Callithrix jacchus: one gene and its partners. The protein of the gene in region 1 purifies or fractionates together with the protein of each later gene. This does not show direct contact. Links are inferred from orthologs where the notes say so. Each region holds a gene or a part of one and is shown in the gene's direction. Other genes may lie near its edges. The genes, in order: NF2, AMOTL2 and AMOTL1.

Region 1 (3,457 bases):
GGTGGGGATCTTTTTTTCCTTGCATTCCGTGAGCTTCTGAGTAAGCTTCTGTCATCTTCAGATGAAGTCTCAGAACATGTGGGAGTATGGATGTGGCCTATCAAAAGAAATCATGTGAGGCTGGGCGCTGTGGCTTATGCCTATAATCCCAGCACTTCCAGGCCAGGAGTTCAAGACCAGCCTTGGCAGCATAGCAAGATCCTATCCAAAAAAAAAAAAAGAGGTTATTGAATTACTGCTCCAAGAAGGGTCAAGACAAGGAGATTGTTCTGGGTTGCCAGGAAGTTTGTTTCATGTTTTCGTTACAGAATGAAAAGCTATCTGTGACAGCTGGTATTTGTAGAGCCCCCTATGAGAATTTACTGAGGGCTTTCCTACTCTTTTTCTTTTCTTTTTTCTCCTCTCTTTTTTCTTTTTCTTTTTTTTCTTTTAATAGACACAGGATCTCATTATGTTTCCCAGGCTGGTCTCCAACTCCTGGACTGAAGCAATCCTCCTGCCTCAGCCACCCAAAGTGCTGGGATTCCAGGGGAGCCACTGTGCCTGGCCTCCTACACTTTTTAAAACTTAATCCTGACCACGGCCCTGTGATCATTATCCCAATTTTAATGATGAGGAAACATTCACAGCAGTGACCACTCCAAGCTCCCACAGCCTGTGAGTGGCCAAGTAGAGATGTGAACCCCAGGCCTCAGACCCTAGGTCCCGTGCCAAGCAGCTTGTGGGCCACAGAGCATCTGAGCCCAAACCCTGATGCACGATACCCTCTTGCTGGCAGAGTGGAATACATGGAAAAGAGCAAGCATCTGCAGGAGCAGCTCAATGAACTCAAGACAGAAATCGAGGCTTTGAAACTGAAAGAGAGGGAGACGTCCCTGGATATTCTGCACAACGAGAACTCCGACAGGGGTGGCAGCAGCAAGCACAATACCATTAAAAAGGTACCCAGGGTCTCTTTCTTGTATTTTGCTGATCAGGACAGTCGTTAATGAAATGTGAGGTTGGCAGCTGGTTTCCTCAGTAGCCAAGTCACTAGACTGTTGGCATCTTTTGTATGTACTTAGTTGAGGAAATTTTTTGACTCATGCCAGAAAGGGAATTTTAATCTGCCAATGACTATGAACCCATTGGCTTGATGGAAGTTGAGCTTGTGTTAAAAGCTCTGATATAATGAACCCCTGTTACAGGGTGGGTTTTGAGCCATTATTTAGCAGTAAAGCATAATGCCCTTTTAAGCCAAGGGGTGTTATGCTCAGGGAGCTGCTTTACTTAATGAGAAAGCAGAATGAAATGGAGGGTATTGAGAATGGACTTTCCCTCTAGACTTGCTGTGTCTTTAAGTGACAAGGACTATAAAACAAAACTGAATTTTTAACTTGTTTTCCTACTTAAAAGGAAGTATGTAGGAGAGGACCTCTTTGTTTTAAAAGAGAAGACTTCATTACGTTGCAAATAGTTTCATATCTTTCTCCATTTGTATTTTGAGCTTTCAGCATTGTTGAGATTCAGAACCTAATTTCCATATTAATTATCAGCCCAAGAGCATACCTCTCTCATTTGGGCTAAGCAGAAGGGTCCTCTCTTGCCAAATAATGCTCTGCTTTTAACTGATAGCCCTGGATCAGGTTAACACCTGTAAAATAGATGTTATTAAGATAAGAGTGGCTCTTTGGGAGGCCGAGGCAGGTGGATCACCTGAGGTCAAGAGTTCGAGACCAGCCTGACCAATATGGTGAAACCCTGTATCTACTAAAATTACAAAAATTAGCTGGGCGTGGTGGTGTGCACCTGTAGTCCCAGCTACTAGGGAGGCTGAGGCAGGAGAATCACTTGAACCCAGGAGGCGGAAATTACAGTGAGCCGAGATCGCACCACTGCACTCCAGCCTAGGCAACAGAGCGAGACTCCATCTCAAAAAAAAAAAAAAAAAAAAAGAGGACTGCCCATTGAGTAGGTAATACTGATATAGTTAATTAATTTTTACTCTTTACCTCAGTCTTTAAAATGGGCTTCCAGTTTTACTAAAGGGCTTCCCTTTAAGTTCCTGGGGTCTTGTCACTGTTGAGAGCTTAGTTTTCTTGCTTGTTTCTGGTAGCTCTCGATAGAAGAAGGTATCCACCTCTTTTCCAAAAGTCTACAAGCCAATCCTGTTTTTGGTTAAGAGACTTTGCCCAGTCAAGCAGTTGTTCTTTGGGAGGCCTCTGTGTTTAGTGGTTAGGCTGTATCTGAAACTCCAGGGAATCAGTTTCTACCTGCCACTGTTGTTGGGGGCAGTAGGGAGCCCTGACTTCTACCTCTTGACTCCAGTCACAACTGGCACCGGGTAGAGGATTCCTTTAAATAGCACAGCCTAGAAGGAAAGGCATGTCCACATTCCACATTGTTCTTTCCTCTGGCTTCTGTAATTTACTGGGCTTTCCTTCCAAAACAAAATTATTAAGCAGTAAAGGGGAGTTCGAGGGAGGCCTCAGCCATTAAGGAAAGAGAAAAACTGATGACTGGGCCAATGAGCCAATCAGCCCTTAAATGAGCTGCCTCAGACACCCCACCTCACCCCTTACCTCCAGCCTTGTCATCTGGGTCCCAGGAGCAGTCTCACCCTTTCCACCGCTGCTGTAATGAGCAGGGGCCTCAGCCACAAAAACCTGCAGTGCTGAAAGCGGAAGAGACCCGTTCCAAGCCACTAAAACGAACAAAATCACTCGTCACGATTTCAGGCCTATCCAAGCATTTTGCAAATGTCACTTGTGGCATTGTTGATATCACAGGGTATGTTTTTGTTTTTCTTATTTTATTTTGCTGGTTTAGCCTCAAGCCCAAGGCAGAAGACCTATCTGCATTTGAGTCCTCAAAGTAGGTTGTTCCCAGGTACTCTCTGTGTGGTGATGGTACTGCCCTCTGTGATACTAACCCGTGCATGAGCTTGCCTGTCTCTGTCCTTGGGCCACACTGAGCCCTCTCGAGGGCAGGTGGTGCCTGGGTACTGGCCGCAGCATGCTTTGAGTCTAAGGCAGGCATCCGCCCTGTGGAGCCAGACCAGCCTCCAGGGACCCAGAAGACTGCCTCGTTCCAAAGAGCATGTCATGGGGCTGTAGGACCAGCCATTCTTTCCATCTCATGTCATTCTTGGGCTGGGGAAGGTTATGGCTTCTTGTCCAGTCAGGTGTGTCTAAAAGTCCTTTGTCTTGGTGGCGTATTCCTTAGATAAATAACCCTAGCATGGAAATGGGGTCAATCTGGGCACTTTTGAGACTGGTATCTTTAACTCGAGATCAAGACCTTTCATGTGGTGACAGCCTCTCAAGACCCATGGTCACACCTGGCAGCTTCTGTTGTCGGGTGAAGGGGTTGCCTGTGCTGGCTCATTTTCCTTTAGAGCTTCCCCTTTCTATACACATCCCTTTTCTTTTCAAATAAAGCAAACCCAGAGCACAGGGTTCTGATGTTTGAGTCCATG
Region 2 (4,118 bases), on another chromosome or scaffold:
CCCCCAAATGCCTGAAAGACGTGATCTTTCCCGAGATTTTACAACCCAGAGTACACATGTCCACAACCATTCCCCTCCTCCACCAATTACACTGTCCATAAGGTAAGGCCACCCAGAGACCTCTTCACAAATGACCCATTTGCTCAATCATCTCAGATGCAATCACTATTTGAAACAGTATTTGGCTTCCAAGTAAAACACACACACACTTTTTGTGGGAGTTTTATTAAAAATTAACAATGTCCCTGGCTATTAAGCTTCCAGAGTTTCCTTGTCCCTGGTTCCCTCCGGTGAATTTGGGAATTGCAAACTCCATGCTGAGGGGAGGACCCAGCCAGGGGAAGAAGAAATCAGCCCTGACTCTCTGGGTGGACAGGGGCCTGACTGCCCCCACTTCAGCCCAACTGACTTGTAGAGAGGCCCTGTGTAGTGGGAACTGGGACAGGGTGTGTCAGTGAAGGCTTTCTGAAGAAGGGGTTTGCACCTAGCAGACGAAGTGTCCTGGGGGCAGAGAAGAAGATTCCATGCAGGAGCCACAGAAGTGGATACAAGGGAAGGCCGCTGGCTGGCAGGGGTGTAGGGGGAGGTAAAGAAGAGACTAAAACAAGGAGCGGGCAGGTGGAAAGAGGAAGGTTCCTGGCGTCTGCCCAGTCCATCTAGGGAGCCCGGATTCTGATGGCAACGGAGGGGTTTTGAGAATGAAAACCCAAGCAGCCCCTGGTTGGTTGTCTGGTTCTTTCTGTGTGACTCTGGGCACCCTGCTTAAGCTCTCTGAGCCCTGGTGTCCTCATTTATAACACAGGGATGATAACAGAACTCCGTTGGAGGATGCTAGGCAAGGCTGGATCGCTTGACTGGGAGAAAAGCCGGCGGTGGCACACCCTGCGCTCTGCGTAAAGGGGCGCCTATTATCTTGGGGAAGAGGTGGACAGAGCGCCTGGCGGCGGGAGATTCGGTTGGGTAGATGGATCAAATTGACAGGATTTTCCAACACAGATTCACGCTTCCTGTGGAGAAGGTTCGTAAAAGAGCTGGTGAAGGTGTTTGTAAACAAAAGTGCAATTCAAAGGTTGCCGCGGGGGTGAAAGCACTGGGGGTTAGGGGAAAGAGAGGCTCGGAGGCTGGAAGTATTCACTTCTCCCGGGACAAGCTCCCAGCCCTGAGGATATAGACGTCTTTGCGGTCCTTCTTCCCTTACCCCCTCCCCCGGTTTACACACACACGCACAGCCGGAGCCTCTCCCGCAGCAACCCCGGGACAAGCGTGGCACAGCCCTTGCTGTATCGTTCCGTCGATGGGTTTCGGGATGAAGGGTGGAGAGCGGGTCGGCGACTAGGGGTGTAAGCAATAATGGGCCGAGTTGTATTAAATTGTCTCCAGCAGCTCCGATCGCAAAGCGGGGGGCAGGGGCGGACACACTGCGGCCTGGAGGGCGCTGAGTGCGGAGGAACGGAGCTCAGGGGCCGGCCCGGCGCTCAGCCAGCAGCGCCGCCTCCCGGGAGGAAGGCGGGGGACGGGAGGAGGGAGCTGGAGGAGGCGGAGGGCGGAGGAGGGCGGCGCGCTGAGAGGTTATTTGTGGTTCGCTTTGATCCCGAGGGGGAACCTGAAACTCTCACATTCCTGGCATAACAGCCGCCTCCAGCGCGGACCGACCCTGGGGCTGCGCGCTGGGGCGCGAACTGCCAGAGCGTCGGCGCCACTGCCGAGAATACATCTCCGCCGCCGAGCTGAGCAGGGCCGAGCCGGGGGTTGCAGTGTCTGACTGTGCTGGGCACCCGCGGGCCGCAGCGGTAAGGAAGGCCGCTTGGCGCTGGGGAGAGCGCGCGAGGCCACAGAGACGTGCCCCGGCCAAAGCCGGAGTCTCGGCGCAGCCCGGCCTTTTCCGGGAGTCGGAGCCCGGAGGATCGAGCGTACTCCGGGCGTAGTGCGCCCGTTCGAGGCAGCCGCAGTGCCAGGCAAGGGCCGCTCCGCCTGGGAGCCCAGCGCCCCTGGCTTTGCGGGGCTCTAGCAGCGCGCCGGTCCCCCGGGGCTGGGGGAGAGCGGAGAGGGCAGACTCTATAGAGGCGACGGTGTTTCGGGTTGCAGGTAGGCCGGGGTGGGGGTGACGGGGGACAGGCCTGGAGGCGCCGCTTGGGGTTCAATTTGCAGGGTCTCGCGGGTTGATTTGGTTAGGTGGGGGTTACAGGTGCCTTTGCCTCCAACTAGTCCAAGAATTCCTCTTTGTCTTCCTTGGAAAATCCTCTCTGGAGACACGAATTGGCTCTCACCTAGAAAGAATGCAGCCTGCTGTCCAGCCCGGTGACGTCAGCGCTGGAGTATTTGGAAAACAAAGAGGGCTCGAGAGGGAGGGAGGCGGACCCGCGATGCTTAAAGACTTCTCCGGGCCACGGGCTACCCTCACCGGCTAGCCCCAGGCGTACCCGCGACCACCGGCGATCCAGGTCCGCCCGGGGTCGTGGTGGAGCTGGAGTCCTGGCTGGGGTGCGAGAGTCTCCCGGCTTGGAGACTGTCACTTTGGTTCCTTAGGCGAGCTGGAGCCCAGGCCAAGGCAGCCGACGCGCGCTGGCTTAGACAGGCAGCCTTCAGAGAGCTCAGCGCGCTAGCGCAGCAGAGGGGCGCGGCCGGGGGCGCGGAAGCAGGTTTTAGTTAAGGCTCGGTCGTTTGGTATTTGAAAGGTCGTGAATCTGAGGGGCTTGGCCGGGACAAATTCGCGAGGCCTTGGAGATGTTCCTTGCTCCCAGTCCCCGCACACTGTGGAGCGCCCGGAATCTGTCGGGAAGGCTCCGCATTCCTTCCGGCCGCTCCCTTGCAGCCTCTGTGGGAGTCGGCCAGAGAGTAATTATCTTAAGGAAATGCCCCGAGATAAAACTCCAGAGCGAATTAAATCCCGTTTGCTTGCTTTGCCTCGGGTAGCGCCGGAGTCTTGCAATATCTACCCCTCGTTGTGTGTGGGGGCGCATGAATGGGTGCCAGGAAGGATTGGTACAGAGGTGCCCTCCAGACTCATACCCCAGTCCCCAGCTCTGGGCAGCTGGAGCCCGGGGTGGGGAGAGGGAAAGGATTGGGAATGGCTGTTCTGCCAACATACCATAACCCAAACTGAAGCAGGACACGGGCTAGTTTTGTGGCAGAGGAGGGGCCACATTCCTCCCACTCCCCACCAACCCCTGCCTGTTCACACAGGATGTTTGGCAGTATGGAGTCCGTTTAGTTTTCCCTGGATCCCAGTTTGGAGATTTGTGTTGGAGAAAGCCCAAGTCCAGATGATCTTCCTTGACACTGATGTCAAGAAAGATGCTGAAAGCCCATCCTCTGTTTGCTTAGAGGACCAGTGAGGGCTTTTCCAAGTAGCGTGTGTGCGTGCATGTGTGTGTGTTGGGGAGGATAATCATAAAAGACGTCGTGCCATCCTTTCTTTTTCCTGGAGCTCTCTTGCAGTTACCGTCAGCTCTAAGACTGACCCACTGACCTTAATGGGTGGCAACTTTCTGCCTCATCTCACAAAACCATTGTCGAGCCTTTTTATTCATCCCTTATTCAGAAATTCAGGTGCAATTCCTCCTCCTTCCTGTTCACCTTGCAGAATGACTGCCAAGGTCATCCCATGACAGGGAGTCCTGGATTCATTCTGTCAGCAGCCCTTGATGAAGCAGAGCCCAGGCCCACCCCCCAGGAGCTCTTTGGTTCTGGGAGAGTGAGAAAAGTGGGCAGGGGTTCAGTGGGCTAGAGGGTAGTAGGTTGACTGTGCCAGGGCTGGGCTCTGGCATGCTTCATTCTGGGGGGGGTCCTGGAGGACTTTCACCTAGGGCTTCTACTGGACTACATGCCTTCTGTATCACCTGCCAATAAACTGGGTCCCCACCCAGCCCTAGACTGAATAGCTAAGTGGTTAGATCTGAACTAGGCCTGCCTTGGAATTGCTCATCAGGCTGTTTGATGGGTAGGTGGCTATAGAGGCAGTGGTTCCTGGTGGATTATCTTCTGGTTTTCTTATGTCTTTCTCCAGGAATAGTAAGCCTCTATGAATGTTATCACAGTAATCATTTACCAGGATTTTCACTGTACCAGGAGCTCAAAGGCCTCTTAATTCTCATCTCCATGAGTCAAGCAGAATTCTT
Region 3 (3,647 bases), on another chromosome or scaffold:
GATAAGTTTCAGTTTATTTCAAGTATAATCCTATGAGGCAGAAAGTCTCTCCATTTTTCAGAGGTGAGAGGTTCAGAGAAGCCACAAAGGTGAGAGTTTGGAGTTAAGGGTGACAGGGAGAGCCTTATGATCAAAGTTGAACTTCAGGAATCAGTCTGTAAACTCCGTTCGTTTTCTCAATAATCATGTTCCAAATGCCTTCTATGTATCAGAGCAGGGTTCAAGGCACTGGGGAGGCAACATGTGATTATAACAGATAGTGTTCTCTGCTCTATCTGGTAGAGGAAGACAGGTCATAATATAATATGGAGTGAAAGGAGAAGGAGCCAGGGGCAAGAGATATTGAGAAGCCATTCAGGATGTCTAAATGACCGGTAAGGAGAGTTGGAACCTGGAGAGTGGCTGAGAGCACGGAAGAATGGACTGGATAGGGGAGCTTGTTGGTGTAGAAACTAGGGCTTGGTTGTGATTTTTAACTGTCATAAATGTGAAATTTCTTAATGAAAATTAGGGGACCATCACAGAGTTACAGCGTTTTGCTATTGCAAGGACAGTAACAATGTCATCTGTTGTCACCTTTTTTCATATTTAAATACCAAAAAAATAAGAGGGATGTGATCCTTGACAGTTCTTGCCCCAAAAAGGACAGTTTTAAGCCTTCTAATGCATTTATCTATTTACATACACATATAGATGTATTAATAGATGTGTATTTATATATCTTGTATATAAGCATATCATACCACCTTCATTTTTTTTTCTCAATTCATTGTGGACTGAGAAAAACTAACTTGACAGTTGATTAAATGCAGAGAGCAAAGAATAAAAAGGTCAAAAGTGAATATGAAGTTTCTATCTGGATGACTCATATTTGAGAATGTCATTTATAGGAAAAAAACATGAATTTGGGGAAGAAAGACTGTTTTGGGAAAATAATGTTCTGTATGTATATATTAAAACATAGAGCCATCATTACATGCATTTGTAGGAGTGAAGGCTGCCTAGAGATGATCTAGTCCAGCTCTGAGTTTACAAAGGAGGATATTGAGGCTCAGGGAGGGAAAACAATTTGTTTAAGGTCATGCCAGCAGTTAATAGTAGAATTTTTACTTTTATAATGCTATAATAATATTCTTAATGCACTACTAATTTTCCTGTTGTGAAATGGGCTAGATATTATATTTCATGGAGCTCATGTAGGTTTTCTTTTATTGGTTAAATACCTGAGGCCTATTACATCCAGGCATTTGGCTTTGTTCTAGGGAGACCCAGATGAGACAACATAATCTTTGCCTTTAAGGAGTTTAGAGTCTTGTATAAATAAATAATTGCCATCTACTGTGAGAATTGCTGCAATGGAGATATATATAAATGGAGTGGGGACACTGGAGAAAGAGGCTCAAGCCTGCAGGGCTGCAGCAGGAAAGGTTTTACTCAGAAGGTAGCTTTGGAGCTATCACTTGTCTAAGAATTTTCCCGAGAGACATGGTGAGATGCGTCTTTCTAGGCAGAGAGGAAAAGGCAAACAAAGGTCCAGAGGCTGGAAAGAGCTAACATTCCTTAGAAACTATATGTACATGGGTATTTATGGAGCTTAAATTCCAAAGAGTTGCCAATGGGAGGTGGGAGCAGCATGAAATGTTTAGGTAGGTGGTATCTGCTTTACCATGTAATAAAATGCCAGTTTTATCCTGTAATTGATTATCCAGGAATTTTGGTACAGAAGAGTGACATAATTAGATTTACATATTGGAACAATCTTTCAAGTAGTGTGCCAGATAGACTGGGGTCAGAGGGCTGGCTTTGGAAGTGGGAATACGATGAGTGTCAGGGAAATAGATAAGGAGGCTGTTGGAATGACCTGGGCATGTGATGCCAAGGGCTTGTAATGTGGAATGAACACAAACTTGGTGTCATATCCTGGTCTGCCTCTTCCTGCCTGGTTGCCTCGGCAATTTACCTCTGTGAACCTCTCTTCTCATTTGTAAGTTAAGGGAATTAATATCTACCTCTTAGTGTTTTATGTGGAATAAATGAAATAACACATGGAGAGATTTAGTACAATAGCTGGCACATCATATACATGTTTAAAGTAATTCTTGTGGTTATATTAAAGTTATTAATGATGAACTTGGAGATTGGCACAGGAACAGGAAGAGGGTTGGCAGAGATGTTGAAAAGGTTAAATTGACAGGTAGTGGCTGTGTGAGTATTGGGGGTAGTAAGAGAGAGGAAGGAATTTTGGAAAACTTTCAGTTTTCTGGCTTGACAGAAAGTAGATGATGCAGGGAATACAGGGGTTGGGATGGGTGGGTAACCATGCAGGATGAGGAAGACATGTTGAGTTAGAAGTACTCAGGGCCATTGTCTGGCAGTTGTAGATGTATGGGTCATGAGTCAGTAGTTGATGATAAGAGGTAGGTGTGGTGTCACTGGGAGACATGTAAGGGTGGAAGAGCACTCAGGACAGAGCTGTGGGAAACACCAGAATTTAAGGGACAGGTGAAGAGAAGGGAGCCAGAGATAGTGTGTAGAGAGAGGCAGGAGCCAGGACCAAGAGGAGGGATGACCTGGAGTCCGGATTAGGAGAGCATTGCAGGAAGAGGATGACCAACTATGTCAAATGCTTCAGAAAGGTTAGGTGCGTAACAGGATAACTGGAAAATTCTCATTGGATTTGGTTACTGATCAGAGCAGTGGGGAGGATAGTGGATGGAGCATTTGGGAAGTGCAGACAGCAAGTGTAGGGCACTCACTGAACACAACTAGAAGAGAAGGAAAAGAGAGATACAGGGTGGTAGTTAGAGGTATATGAGAGGGCCAAGGAAAGTTTTCTTCTGGTTTGATTTTTTTTTTCTCTTGTATTACTTTTTTAAGATGGGAAAGACTTGGATATGTTTATGTGCTGAAGAGAAAGGGTCAGTGGGAAGATTAGAGAAAAGGGAGGAGTTGAAGGATGGAACAGTGTTTAGGAGAAAGCAAAGGAGAGGGAGTGGGGAATAGTAGACTCACTTTGAATAGGAGAAGAAATTCGATGAGACATTGCCAGGTAAATGGAGGTGATGATGTATTTGAAATATCTTTAAATGTTGCCGTAGTTAGAATGTTAATTATGTACCACATAGTCACAGACATATATCTCCTGTGGAACAGCCTGATATCTTTTTTCCTATGTTTATCTTTTAGTTGAAGATCCTCTTTGTAACTTCCACTCCCCAAATTTCCTGAGGATCTCAGAGGTGGAAATGAGAGGTTCCGAGGATGCGGCAGCTGGAACAGTATTGCAGCGGCTGATCCAGGAACAACTGCGGTATGGCACCCCGACTGAGAACATGAACTTGCTGGCCATTCAGCACCAGGCCACAGGGAGTGCAGGACCAGCCCACCCTACAAACAACTTTTCTTCCACGGAAAACCTCACCCAGGAAGACCCACAAATGGTCTACCAGTCGGCACGCCAAGAACCGCAGGGTCAAGAACACCAGGTGGACAATACGGTGATGGAGAAACAGGTCCGGTCCACGCAGCCTCAGCAGAACAATGAGGAACTGCCCACTTACGAAGAGGCCAAAGCGCAGTCACAATTCTTCAGGGGGCAGCAGCAGCAGCAGCAACAGCAGCAGGGGGCAGTGGGCCATGGTTACTAC

What was found.
Region 2: the proteins of NF2 (region 1) and AMOTL2 purify together in Homo sapiens (affinity purification with mass spectrometry; 5 studies listed by BioGRID and IntAct, with this or other methods). This does not show direct contact. The link is inferred for Callithrix jacchus from reciprocal best matches to the Homo sapiens genes NF2 and AMOTL2.
Region 3: the proteins of NF2 (region 1) and AMOTL1 purify together in Homo sapiens (affinity purification with mass spectrometry; 6 studies listed by BioGRID and IntAct, counting the BioPlex papers as one, with this or other methods). This does not show direct contact. The link is inferred for Callithrix jacchus from reciprocal best matches to the Homo sapiens genes NF2 and AMOTL1.

The regions. Positions count from the first base shown.
Region 1 is NC_133502.1:200,276,809-200,280,265, forward strand, and holds the end of NF2 (merlin), read left to right. Parts: intron 1-778; coding exon 779-941; intron 942-2,808; coding exon of another isoform or gene 2,809-2,810; coding exon 2,811-2,921; 3' UTR 2,922-2,936; downstream 2,937-3,457. UniProt on the Homo sapiens protein: Probable regulator of the Hippo/SWH (Sav/Wts/Hpo) signaling pathway, a signaling pathway that plays a pivotal role in tumor suppression by restricting proliferation and promoting apoptosis.
Region 2 is NC_133518.1:49,808,628-49,812,745, forward strand, and holds the start of AMOTL2 (angiomotin-like protein 2), read left to right. Parts: upstream 1-1,217; 5' UTR 1,218-1,340; intron 1,341-1,599; exon of another isoform or gene 1,600-2,085; intron 2,086-2,399; exon of another isoform or gene 2,400-2,441; intron 2,442-4,118. UniProt on the Homo sapiens protein: Regulates the translocation of phosphorylated SRC to peripheral cell-matrix adhesion sites. Required for proper architecture of actin filaments.
Region 3 is NC_133511.1:45,513,742-45,517,388, reverse strand, and holds part of AMOTL1 (angiomotin-like protein 1), read left to right. Parts: intron 1-3,186; coding exon 3,187-3,647. UniProt on the Homo sapiens protein: Inhibits the Wnt/beta-catenin signaling pathway, probably by recruiting CTNNB1 to recycling endosomes and hence preventing its translocation to the nucleus.